3 linked regions of the Tribolium castaneum genome follow. The protein of the gene in region 3 interacts with the protein of the main gene of each other region in a biochemical or structural test. Links are inferred from orthologs where the notes say so. Each region holds a gene or a part of one and is shown on either strand. Other genes may lie near its edges.

Region 1 (4,661 bases), on a different chromosome or scaffold from region 3:
GAGGGAAATTTTTAAAATACAGACGGGGGAAGATGTGGAAAGCAACAGTAATGCCACGAGAGGCATTGACGCGTTTATCACTTCGAATCGTGTGATTTTATTAGACTGTCAACCCTTTATGTCTGTTGCTGTGTTAGACGAATTGGTTCAGAGTGAAAATAAGCGTTCGAATATCGTTAGTGAGTTTATTCCTTTGGAAAACAGTGGAGAAATTCAGGGGTTACAACTAACCGCGTTTTTGATGAGCATTTGTCACGTTTTAATAGTAGTACAGGATTATTTTTTCGATAGTAATGTTGTCCGGTTTTTACAAACTGCCGAAATGTTAAAACCTACACATTCAAACCCTGAGGATGAGCTAAATGACCATTTCCCGCACTTGCTAATGATACACAACAAAGCACAAATGGACGATTTCTCGCCCAGGAAATTCAAAACCATTCAAGAAATTTACAATTTATTGTTTGAAAAAACCAAGCTTCAGAAGGACTCAAATTTGGGGCTGGCTGACGATAATTCCGGCGAACTTTTCAACGTGTTTCTCATCCCGGAATACAATCCCAAATATGGTAATTATTTTTTTTTGTTTAACGAGCAAAATGTTTGCCAAATCGAGTGAGCGCATCTTAAATACTCGATTTATTGCAGATAACATCTACAATGGACACCCGCCTTTGGAAGACCTTGTAAAAAAATTAAGGGCCAATATTTTAGGCGCGATTAAAACGCCCTTAACTCACGTTCAACTGACTGAAAAAACGTGGCTTGTGTACTGTTCAAAAGTATGGGAAAATGTAAAAAAGAGTTCGTTTTTTATCGAATACACTAAACTAATGCCATGAAATAATTTATTTCTTTGAAACCTTCTCTTTCCGTTTTTTGACATGTTTTTTGATTTTTGTTGTCCTTTTGGCAGCTTGTGCCTCTTTGACTGCTTTTTTCCGCGCTTTTTTCTCATCGAGTGTTTCATGTTTGGGTCTTGAAGAGTCAACAAAATTACTACCAGTGTCTTCTTCACTTTCTGAATTTTCTTCAGATGATTCTTTTTCATCCAAAATCTCGGGATGTTGCACAGTTCCACTCAAATCGGCCTTTAAACCGACCAAAGTTTTGTAAACTAAATCGTCAGCTAAACCCGATTTAACTCGAGTTATGTCTCGCTCGAAATCAATCACTTCAGTCAGGCGTTTAGGGATGTAAGCCTGCTTAAACACCTCTTCCTCCACCTGTAATGGAACACCAAAAAAATTTCGTTACTACTAACAAAAAAATACGACAGCATTTTTTTTTTCTAAACTCACTCTGGCAAAGTTTTATGGAATTTTTTGTACTTGTAATTGAGAAAATAATTTTACCTGTTCCTCTGACGTGACTTCGGTGTGTTGAGCCGCTTTCTCAGCCAACGCCTCAAGACACTCCTCCATATTCCCCTCATTTATCGTCGGATCAGTGATAAAATGAAACAAATCCTTGATACCCATAGTCGCAACTTCCTTCTTTTTGAAAAAATCTGTGATATTTGTACAATCCTTCCGCAAAAACTCCAACGCGTGAGGATGGTCATGTTCTACAGATTGTGACACATCGATAACGAAAATTTCGCCATTCAAATAAAGCATGTTGAACTCGGACAAGTCGGCATGTACTAATTTACACTTATTGTACATTTTCCACATGATTATAACCACGTCTCTGTAGATTTCACGCGCTTTTGACTGACTTAAATCCACGTCTTTTAATTTCGGAGCAGGCCAACCCTCTCGACCAATAAACCCCATTAGTAAGACATGCGAACGCAGCAAAATGGGTTCAGGGACATTCAAACCGTTCGAATGCATGCGAATTAAATTCCTCATTTCTTTTTCGGCCCACGTTCGTACCATTTTTCGCGGATTATGTCGACAATAACCGTGTCTGAATCTAAACTCGCCACTAACGTATTTATCGCGATCTTTGAAAACGAGAATCGAGGTCTTGTAAATTTTAATCGCAACCTGGCCCTTATCACTCGTTGCGTGATAAACATTTGCCTCTTTTCCCGTTGAAATACAACCGTTTATTTCGGAAATTACGTTCCGGTTTAATAATTTAAATAAAATCATTCGGGTTCGTGGATCCATGACTTGTTCAGCGGTGGCACGGTCGTGTTTGTCCTTGTGCCGTATTTTCTCATTTTCTTGCCGTTTTTCATTGGCTATGAGCAAATTTGTGGCATGAGGGGGCAAAGCCCGGTCATACGCCTCAACGTTGATTTTGTTGGTGTATTTTTTGAATAAACTGTCGGGGGGTTGGTACGAACTGACTTTTTTTGACGACACTTGGGGGTTCCTCTGGTTTTTGCCCGAAATTGAGTAAAAATCGTCATCTTCACTTTCGTAACTATCTTCATCAAGGGTCAAATTCTCGGTTACGGGGGCCAGAATATCGTCTTCAGCGTCCCGAAAAAGCTCGTCTTCACTCAAAAAATCGTCCGGTGTGGTCATAATTACACAAATAAACGTGCAAAAACTCTGAGGTTATATTGAATTGTCACACGTGTGAACTCGAGTGGCCTTCAGCCCGAACTAATTTCCGTGTTATTGCACAACTTGACCCAATTTATCCCAGCAGTTGGTCAAAAATTTGCAAAAAAATATCCAAAACTCTAGTAAAAACCTAACACTTTGCCCAAAAATCGTAAAAAACGATTCGGTCGTGTACACAATCGGTCGCAATGTCGGGGAACCTAACCCCTCTGAATATTAAGTTTGTGTTTTTCGCGTAATAATGACCGAGAAATCGTTCGACAAGCTCCAGTTGAACCCTTGGATCATTCGCCAGTGCGCCACTATAGGTATGAGCCCCCTTTTGCTTCGTAAATTAATTTTGGGGTACAGGTGTGCGCAGCCCTACACCCATCCAGACCAACTGTATTCCCCCAATTCTCGCCGGTAGGGACTGTATCGGGGCTGCTAAAACCGGCAGTGGCAAAACCCTAGCATTTGCCTTGCCCATTCTCCAGAAATTATGCGAGGATCCTTACGGTATTTTCGCTCTTATTTTAACCCCCACACGAGAACTGGCGTTTCAAATCGCTGATCAGTTTGCAGTCATTGGCAAAGTGATGAATTTGCGCCATTGTGTCATTGTGGGGGGTATGGATATGGTGGTTCAGGGCAAAGACTTAGCCCGAAAACCCCACATTGTGGTGGCAACGCCTGGCCGCTTAGCTGACCATTTAGAAAGTTGCAACACGTTTAATTTTAATAAATTGAGGTTTTTGGTGCTTGATGAGGCCGATCGTTTGTTAGGGGGGCACTTTGACGAACAAATCAAAACGATTTTTCAAGCATTGCCTAAGGAGCGCCAAAATTTATTTTTCTCAGCCACGATCACCGATACTTTAGAAAAACTGAAAGATGTGACAGGGAAAGATGTTTTTTTCTATGAAGCCCCGGCTGAAGTAGCAACTGTTGAACAATTGGAACAAAACTATGTATTGTGCCCCAAAGATGTGAAAGACGCTTATTTGGTTGAGACAATTAGGACGTATCGTGCTACAAATGACGGAAATATCCTTATTTTCACTAACACTTGCAAGTAAAATAATTGGTCTAGAGTTTGAAATTAAGTTGGCAATACTATTTTTGCCAACTTGATTTCGTAGTCGTAGACTAAGTAGGATTTATTGTAGGAATTGTCAAGTGTTGTCAATGACTTTAAATGAGGTCGGTTTTGAAAATGTGGCCCTTCATGCCATGATGAAACAACAACAGAGATTAGCAGCTTTGGCTAAATTTAAATCAAACACAATTAAAATTCTTCTAGCCACTGATGTTGCAAGTAGAGGTCTTGATATTCCCACCGTTCAATTAGTAATTAATCACAATATTCCTAAAATACCGAAGGAATACATACATAGGGTTGGTAGAACTGCCAGGGCTGGGAGAAACGGCAAAGCGATAAGTTTGGTCACCCCTTACGACATCAAATTGTTACAAGCGATCGAACAACACATTAATACGAAATTAACTGAATTTAAATTGGACGGTAATTGTTTATTTTAGTGAGGTTTTTTAGTTTATTTTGAATTATAGATAGCGAAGTTGGTAAAATTTTCACGCAAATTTCGGTAACCAAAAGCGAGGCTTATATTAAACTCGACGAACAAGATTTTTACGAAAAGAAAATGATAAATAAGAGGAAAAAGTGGATGATGGAAGGGCTTGATCCAGACGAGGAAGAAGAAAAATTTTTAAAGACAATCAAAAAAAGCAAGAAGGCGAAAAAGAAGAAACAAAAGAATGACAATTGAAATTTTAAATATTTTTGTAAATTGAGCACAAATAAATTTTCTAAATCGTTTCTGTTGTTTTATTTACACAATTTAATACAATGTGATCAAGAATGACTTTGGCAGCACTTAATTTTTGGTTGTTTTTGACACTGCGTACAATTTAGTGTTCCCAACTTAGTGATTCTTGTTAACTTTGTATTGTAGAACAACTATACAGAATTAACTCCTTACTGTTGCGGCTTCCAATAAATAAAACAGTGTTTAATTTAACAATTTTATCACATGTTCGTTCACAACTGAATAAATTGTGCAATAATATCGATAAATAGCCATTAACAAAAACAATAAATTGAAGCATGATATCATACTGAATGTGGAATTCGTA
Region 2 (3,704 bases), about 5.7 Mb from region 3:
AGGACGAAACGGTGGACCACACACAAGGCTCGGACGATGAAGGTCCGTCTCACTTTTAAAATCTTCCAATTTTTTTAATTATTTTTTAGGGGAACCCGATGTTAGCGAAGCTGAGCAAGAACAAGTGTCCGAATCGCTGGCAATTCCCAGTGGCCCCCGCAAGGTCGAGTGCCCCGAGGACGAGGACTTTTTAAACGCTTTGGATAAAATGGTTTCGGAGAACATCCAAGAGCGGATGCGCGAGCCGGTGAAGGCCGGAAACGTGGACATTTCCGTTCCGGTTGTCCTCAAATCGAACAAAAAGACCTACGAGCAGTTGCAGGACGCCCCTGAAACGGAACCCAACAAAATCGGGTTCGTGCTAATGGTCCGCAAAGGAAACAAGCAGCAATATAAAAATTTCGAGGCTGATATCAACTCCGAACTCGCTCAGAATCTGAGGGACCAGGAGTTGGCTCAGAAGGAGGAGAAGGAACGAGTGAAGCGCTTGACGCTGAACATCACGGAACGGTTTGAAGAGGAGGATTATCAAGACATGATGCAGCAGCAGAACAGGCCCGTGACCCAAAACTTGAACCGCGAACGCAAGAAATACCAGCACCCCAAGGGGGCGCCCGACGCCGACCTGATTTTTGGACCTAAGAGAGTTAGATAATGGGAGGAATTCAGGATGAAATGGTTGAATACGATTAAGGGTCAAAGAAGTTCAGAATGTTTCAGAAATAGATAGATTGTTTCGTTTTTAGTCTATCGGAATTGAGAATTGTGAAGGAGAAGCAAGGAATTTCATTTTTTGTTTCGTTCAACATTGTTTTCTGTTGGAATAAAACCTTTTCACTAGTCAGTGTTTTATAAAAAATGGATTAAAATTAAAGATACAAAACCTAACATAATTCAGGGATCAGTCTGCATCTTCAAAATCCTCATCCTCGTTGCCATTCCGGTAGCTGTACTGGACGTCGACTGAGTTGTTTTGTAGCCTTTCGGCCAAACTGTCGACAACTGCGTCCCCAATCTGCTCAGACTCTGCTTCTATAAACATTTCTTCTTCTGCGTCCGCGAATAAATTATCATCGTCCTCGTCGTCAACATCGGCAGGATCGGGATTGAGTTCTTGGCAAATTTTTATAGCCTCGTAAATACTTTGTACATGTGTGGGGTTTTCGGGGGCTAAAATCAGCTCCGAGAGGTCTGGCTCTGACTCAACGTCACTGTCATCATTTGCGGGCCTTTGGTCAGTTTCTCCTACAAAACGACGCACAATAAACCAAATTTTGCGCAAAAAATTACAAACCAAACAAATTTATGTGGGGGTCAGTCAAAATATAAATACACTCCCTCTCGCACACGTTGGGGTCTTTGGACACCGCATGGAGCGAGACGTTGTAATATTCAATTGAAAAACCCGTAGTCCCGTCTTTTTGCCAACTGAGTGTCCTGTAATTTAACACAATGTATTTTTCGTTTGGTTTTGCCATAATTGTGTTACCTTTCGCTCACAAATAGGGTTCCGGTGCCCAGATCACGTTTATCCAAAATCACCACAACGTTTGACTGCTCGAGTCTTATAGGAGATTCTGGTGGTTTAAACGACGTGACCACAACCATTCTTCCTCCACTTTTTTTCGCAAAACGTGTTTATTTTTCAAAATTATTGTAACCACAAACTATGGCGCTTGACGTTTAACTTGGGGATTTTTATTTTCTTTTGGCGGCGTTGTGAGCTAAGGACCAATCACGGGCTGGTATTTTGAACCGGCTGTGTTTGATTGGGGAAAAAAACCTGTTATTCTGTGGGGAAAATATTTGTTGTCAATTGAGGTTAGGTGTTTGTTGACAAAAACTGATGGATTCCCAAAAAACAACCTTTTGTAACGAAATCTCGCTGATGATGTTTGGGTTCGGCGACAGCCACAAGCCGAACCCCGAGACGGTGCGTTTGGTGGAGAGCATCGTGTTGAAGCAGCTCCGCATGATCGTCCAGGAAGCGCTGAAGTACTCCGATGGTAAGAACCTCAAAGGCAAGGAGTTGGTGTTCCTAATGCGGCACAATAAGCACAAAATGCGCCGCTTTTTCCAATATTTGAAAAACAAGCAACTCAAACAGCAACTCCAGTCGTTGAACTCGGGGGTCATTGAAATTGACAGAGATCCCATACCGAAGAACGAGCTAATGAAGTTTATCGAGTACATAGACGAGACGGGAGAATTCACCGATTTATCCGAAGTTGATGAAGTCAAACAGTCGAGGATGCTGAGGGCTGATCGCATATCTCAAGCCCTGGACGAGAAGAGGTATTTGGAGTTTTGCAAAGCGAGAGCCACCTCGTTTTGCAGTAGAGATATCACGGCCCGAAACTCCGAAAAATTAAGACAGTGGATTGACCCGAAAAAGGAAATTAATTTCAGCACTAATGCTATGGTGGTTTTGTCGTATTTGGGGTACCAGACAGTTGCTGAGATAACCGATTATGCGTTGCTTGTGAGGATGGAGGGCAAATGTGGGAGTGATCCACTGAATCATTTATACGGCAATTACTACACTTCTACGATGTTTAATGGGGATTATAGGATAGGGGCTAGTGGTAACAATCCAGACTATAGCAGGGTTTACAGTGGACAGCCCCCCATTAGTGTCAATGAAATTAAAGAAGTTATGAGAAGAATTCACTGTCCGCAAGCAGGGAAGCTGAATTTCGGGGGAAAACTACCAGACACGCATTATCTATTTGCTCTGTAATTTGTTCTAATAAAGTTTAATTTTTTAAACGGTCTTTTATTTATCCAAATATTACGCTGCAAAATTTATGTGCAGCGAATCCATTCTCGACAAATTTTTTACGAAAAAAATAGAGATTATGCAAGATGATATTGAAGCAACCGATGTTATAATTTCTCTCGCCAAACTCTGAAAACAAAGGTATTGGGGTCAGTCAAGTTAGCCTCTCACTTATTTTTTATAATTTGGATTGTTGTGCTAATGTTTTTATTAATTGTGCTTTTTCGAAACTAATCTTAGAGCTAAAGTCACTGCTAACCGTGCAATATTTTAATGTGTTTATGTATTTTTAAAATAAATAAATTTTAATACTTTCTTCAAAATTCTTTAATGTTTATCAGATGTTTTTGCCTATGGTTAAATTGTGTAAGGCATTTATTTTAACATATAATTTAAATTACTTAACTTTGGTGTGTTTTATCGTCATTTGTACTTTTTTGTACGTAATTTAAAAAATGTTTAAATAGGGAGACATTATCAGGTTCCCAACTTCCCATCATAAATATTCTAGAGCTTACATCATTATTATTATTTATTTTTAGTAAAATTAAAAATAAAGCGTTGATCGTCTTCTATTCGTTTTTTGATTATTACTTTACAGGGCTGTCTTGCTTTACAGCCGTCTGGGTCCAAAGATTTGTGTGCCACCCTTTACAAAAATATTTTTGTAAAGAGTGGCACACAGCTATATAGCTTTTTATTTTCAATTTTTTTATATCAGTTCTGCTTTCATTGAAAAAAGATTTATCGTCTTTCAATATTTTAACACAAATATTTTAGTAACTTCTAAGAGGGAGAATCAGATTTTTGCGTAGTTAAAAAAAATAATAATAGTGTCATGTATTTTAAAGAGTTAAAAAGGAATTTTCTAAACATTTTTGTATCATTATTCGAATCTGAACAAGAATAAATAAAAAATAACACA
Region 3 (5,177 bases):
GTTTTTTTAATTTAAAAAAATTAAAATTCATCCAAAAAATCACAATGTGTAGATGTGCCAACACTGGGAATTATATCCTAGGAAACCGTTTCAAAAATAATTTATTTTTATTGTTGCTCAAATTCTATTGCGATCATGACTGCTAGACAACGTTGCCACATATCATTTATATAAAATCCATTATTTATCAATAACTTTAATACAAAGAATTTTTTTACTATTTTTACCTTTATATGTTACCAATTCTCTACCACACACCATTGAGTTGGTGCGCCAGTTTTTGAGCACGCTGTATATCCCATTTCAGTTCATAGTAGAATTTTGCATTTTTTGGAGTGAAATGGAGCACAAATTGACAGTTTCTGGTGGATTTTCTTAGCTCAAAACGTGTCGCTGGGATTTAGTTTACCAGAGAATTCTTTTCTTTTACAGAAACTCTCAATTTGTGCTTTATTTTTAACTCCGAAAATTTGAAATGCGCTGTTGAAATTCTACGATGAACTGAAAAAATAATTGACCAAAAATAATTTTTTTTTCATATAATTTTTAAATGACTCGTTTTTTTTTCAAATCTATATTTACAGGGTGATCCTTTCAATGCCCATATTAGAAACTTTTTGTATTGCTAGAGCTTTAAAATTTTGTTCACGATCCAAATCGATCCATTCAGAGATCAACTAAATTATTTTCAAATTGCTAAACTTCCGGAACAATAAGAAATTCGCGCCAACTCTGAAATTTTAAATACTAACCACACATCTTTATCCCATTTTTGAATCCGCCTACTCAAGCTGAGCAACCCACGTTGTAGGTAAATAAGTCATAGTTTGTGCCACATATCATTTTTTTTGTAAAAAGTTTCATTTGCAGAGGTTTACTTAAAATATTACTTTTTGTCAGTGCCTTTGCGATAAGTCAATAATTTTTTTGTATTCAATAACCCAAGGTTTGAAGAACCTTCTAGAAGTTTCAAATTATCAAATGTCAACATTCAAGGCTAGTATGACTTTTTCAAAATAGTTATCAAAAAACGGCTATAACTCAGTTTTTTTCAAATAGAATTACCCTATTTTCTTAACGACATTCGAAAGAACATCGACACTTATGGTGACTTTTATAAACACGTCCTATTCCTGTCTCTTACGGTTTTTAAAATAATCACAAAAAACGGATTGTATTTTTTAATTCTTCATCCTTAATCAAGTAGGCTTTGTAAAATAGTCAACAAAAAAAAAAACAAAAACAAAATTGTCAACTTCAAAACTTTATTTAGTGTTTAGCTGGTTCATTTACGTAGTAAGGAGTAAACCAATAATATTTAATTATAGTTTATTTTACTTAGTTATGTTAAGTACATACAGTCATATAATTTTGAACTTCTTAAATGAAAATGGTGGACATATTGAACATTTCTTTTAATTAATAGCAAAATTTTACTCGATTAAAAATTAAAATAACGAGCTAAGATTCCTGATAGATATAGAAATGTTGAAATCGCCATAAAAATCAATGTCCTTTTGATTGCCATTGAAAAAACAGAATTATGATCATTTTAGCCTTGCAATTTGACAATTGGCAATCCTAAAGATTTTAGAAGACCCTTCGAATCTTTGGTTAACAAATGCAAAAAAAACATTCACTTACTGAAAAGGATTCAAGAGCTGTGATAATTTGATAATTGGGCCTAAACGAATCAGCCCGTATTGTTGCAAAGATTCTCAGAAAGTTATGAATTTTTTTCATGCAATGTGATCTTTCATTTTTATATAAAAATAAATCTGTTGAGTTTTTACCCATTTACACTCAGTGACAAATATGTAATGATTTAACTTAGGTATTATCCCTAATTATAGGCAAACTATTTTGTTTCAATGCTTTTCATAAAAAATCAATTTCAAATTTTGCGTTCACGCGCTTGTTATAACAGCTGGAGCTTTAGACGTTCCTAGTATACTCGTAGTTCAACCTTAATCGACTTACCCTTGGATAAATTCAAGATTGGGGTCACCAACGTATAGCTTTTTCCCCAAGAAGTGTAGATATTTAGTGTAGAGAGACAGGTCGGTCTCAGAGTCCGATTTGATGATGTATTGGACGTCTATGGTTAGAAAGCGCTGAATTATGTCCTGGTGGGCGCGTGGTAAGACAGGCTTTCCGTGATTATTTAAAATAAAGTAAGTCGTGGGGATAATTAGCGCTTTGACGGGCTCCCCAATCCACCTATTGACCTCACTTTGTGAAGGAATATGTGCAATTTCAGGCAACTCCAAAACTAGACCTACGTGCTTATCGTAATTACAATAAGTGCGAAAATCGTTCCACCACTCCCAAGAATCCTCCTTCTCATCTTCGGTGCAAATGGGGCTAAATTGTGACGGGTGCACCATGGGGAGCGTAACCCAAAAACTGGACGTAAACCCGTTCACGAGTTTCTCATTGATGAGGCGCCCCAACTGTGCGTTGTGTCGCTTAGTTAGGGAAAATTTTATCACGGGAACCCCCAAATGAACCGCAAAACCTAACTCTTGCAAGAACAGGGCTTTGCTTTTCCTTTGCACGTGTTCAATTTCGCTGTCCACGTTGATGGTGGGAGTGAGTTCAGCTTAAATTGTTCAAATTAGCGATTTTTGCAGTTTGGGGCTAAAACCTACCGACGATATAGCGCCCCCATTCAAGACTTTGCAAGATGCGGTCTGTACGACCGATTGCCGGCGGGGGCTTCCCGTGGAGGAGGTCGCGAGCGTAGTTGGGGTGCGTTATTTGAGTTACTAGAAAATGGTAACCGTATTCATAAGCTGACTGGATTGCTAGCCTAAGACTGTGGGGGCAGTTCACTTGGAGACCGGTTGACATTCGCTTGCGTTTTTCATTGTCTCCGTCTGGGTAGTATTGAGATTCCACGCTCATTTTGGGGCTAAAACATGTTGTGGATTGAGGTTATGTCAAATGTCAAGTGTGCGTTTTTTACGACAAAATTCGTAAAAAAACGTGGCAAAAACGCCAAAAATGTAATAACGGAGTAATATTGGGGGTTTAGGAGGCAAGTGTTATTGAAAATTGAGCTTACCGTTTGAATTACCACTATTTTTCAAACAACGCTGTCAAAATAAAAATTGACAGTTCCAGGAATCCGGAAGCAGTGCCAACAACATGCTATTATTACCACTGCCAACATAAAGGATTATATTTTTAAACTTTTAGGGTTTGGATTTCTTTTTTTTTTTCATTTATAACGTTTTTTAATTATTATTTTTTTGTACAAGAAGTTTGTAGCTAATACTGTGAAAAAATAATTTCACAGTTATTTATTTATATTTTATTATTATTTTATTATTTATATTTATTATTTCAACGTTATTTATAATGTTATAGTGGCGGTCAGCTCGATTTGCGTGTGCGTCATCAATTTCATTTTTTCATTACCAACACAAAGCTATAAAAAATTCTCAAAAACAATGCAAATTTAAACAGCTAAGGGCTATCTAAGGGTGGTATCCTTGAACATTAATTTACATGTGCACTTCGACAACACCGTCAAGTGTCACGAATTTGTCAAACTGACATTGACAGTAAATTATAGACGTCGTCGCATGGTTGTCGAAAGTGTTATCGGTGTTAATCGCAAGTATTTTCTGTTCGTTTATTGTGTTTTGTGATTTGCGTTTCGTTAGGTTTTTGATTCTGCGTTTATTAGTTCTTGTTTTGTAAATCTGTATTTTTTGTAACAACTCATAATTTAAACACTTCGTAACCTCAAAAAATATTTGATAGTTTGTCACCGCTATGCCCCTGCTATGTAAACGTAGTGACAGAAATGTCAGATGACGCACACGCAAACGGAGCTGAGCGCTACCATATAAGTTATAATAATATACACGTGTATTAAACACCAAATAAGTATTAAGATAGCTCACTTTTTTAACTTTTAATAAAAAATATTGGTAGACATTAACTTTTAATTTCATATACAGGTTCGTCTTTTAAGTTTTCCCAGCCTCGTGTTATATTTCTTTACTGAAGAATTTCTCTTAAGTGAGTGGCTGTGTCGCTATTGTGCAATAAATAATAATGCTTTTACATATTTTTTCCAATCAAAATTTAAATTAAGTTTTCGTTCAGTTGTTCGTGTTTTAAATCGAGTGGCGTTATTAAAATTGAGTAGTGACCCGTGACGTCTTCACCAATCGCGAAAAAATTCCCAACCGGAACTAAAACAAACGAGGATCGTGGTGCGCCTTCCCATCGACCAATCGATGCGTGTCTGCGATCACGTGCTGGCCCTCGTGACTTACCACGTGACCTCGCGTTAATTAACCGCGGGCTTCGTGCGACATTTAATCAGGCCGTCGGTGTACGTACTTTACAAAAGCAAATATGTCTCGAAGTGTATCCATGAAAAACGAGCGTGCCTTTCTCATATACAAAAGCCTCAAAGATAAGCGTATATTTTCCATTAAACCATCATTTGTACGTATTCATGCAGCACGGCATCAGATAAGTGTTGCCAACTGTACATATTAAATGCGAAGGTGTACAGAAAAGCGTTTTCGGATCGTTTTACCATCGGACTCCGCCCCCGATATGGGAGGGATGGTCGGAGGGATACGCCCTCGGCACCCCTGGCCGAGCGCACCGGCCATCATTGCTAGGGTGAGCGAGGGTGGAATCAGGGTGTATTGTAGCGTCACCCCAGCTTGTTATGTTCTGAAGTGTTCGATCGCCATATTGATAGGAATACTCACTTTTTATTGGTGGATTTATAATCAGTGCGAAAAATGCGCTACCCCGAAATATGTATTCTATTGATTTTGTGTAAATAATTCGAGGGGGAAGGTTTATTTTTTGTTTGGTTTGGTGCTTAATTAGGAAAATGAAACGCGGAATGTATTAACATACAAAACTATCGCGGCGTGTGTTTATGACAGATAATAAATATTGTTGTAATTATGTATTGCACGCATGAGGAAAAATCGCTTCCGGTCGAAAGGCCCCTCCCAAAAAGTGGTACCTGCCCACTAAAAGTACGACGATGAAGGCGATGCTCGTATTTCCGGTAATTATGGCCGCAAATCATATCAGAGATTTTCAAATTGAGATTCTTGATGTTCCCAGCATTATTTTCAATTAGGTGGGAGGAATTAAATAAGGTGGAAAATATTAACAGCCGCCGGATGTGC

The links.
Region 1: the proteins of csul (region 3) and RIOK1 are reported together in a solved structure, tested with the Homo sapiens proteins (2 studies listed by BioGRID, with this or other methods). The link is inferred for Tribolium castaneum from reciprocal best matches to the Homo sapiens genes PRMT5 and RIOK1.
Region 2: the proteins of csul (region 3) and icln form a complex in vitro, tested with the Homo sapiens proteins (5 studies listed by BioGRID and IntAct, with this or other methods). The link is inferred for Tribolium castaneum from reciprocal best matches to the Homo sapiens genes PRMT5 and CLNS1A.

The regions. Positions count from the first base shown.
Region 1 is NC_087402.1:314,856-319,516, forward strand, and holds RIOK1 (serine/threonine-protein kinase RIO1), read right to left. Parts: upstream 2,484-4,661; coding exon 1,356-2,483; intron 1,227-1,355; coding exon 849-1,226; 3' UTR 843-848; downstream 1-842. Other genes in the region: nonsense-mediated mRNA decay factor SMG9, read left to right, coding at 1-569, 649-842; Dbp45A (probable ATP-dependent RNA helicase DDX49), read left to right, coding at 2,767-2,833, 2,877-3,579, 3,674-4,029, 4,077-4,294. UniProt on the Homo sapiens protein: Involved in the final steps of cytoplasmic maturation of the 40S ribosomal subunit. Involved in processing of 18S-E pre-rRNA to the mature 18S rRNA. Required for the recycling of NOB1 and PNO1 from the late 40S precursor.
Region 2 is NC_087394.1:28,289,049-28,292,752, forward strand, and holds icln (methylosome subunit pICln), read right to left. Parts: upstream 1,625-3,704; 5' UTR 1,609-1,624; coding exon 1,490-1,608; intron 1,438-1,489; coding exon 1,295-1,437; intron 1,246-1,294; coding exon 902-1,245; 3' UTR 832-901; downstream 1-831. Other genes in the region: Upf2 (regulator of nonsense transcripts 2), read left to right, coding at 1-42, 90-655; transcription initiation protein SPT3 homolog, read left to right, coding at 1,847-2,740; uncharacterized protein LOC103312536, read right to left, coding at 2,792-2,908. UniProt on the Homo sapiens protein: Involved in both the assembly of spliceosomal snRNPs and the methylation of Sm proteins.
Region 3 is NC_087394.1:22,619,714-22,624,890, forward strand, and holds the start of csul (protein arginine N-methyltransferase 5), read right to left. Parts: upstream 3,206-5,177; 5' UTR 3,068-3,205; intron 2,915-3,067; 5' UTR 2,908-2,914; coding exon 2,652-2,907; intron 2,603-2,651; coding exon 1,981-2,602; intron 1-1,980. UniProt on the Homo sapiens protein: Arginine methyltransferase that can both catalyze the formation of omega-N monomethylarginine (MMA) and symmetrical dimethylarginine (sDMA), with a preference for the formation of MMA.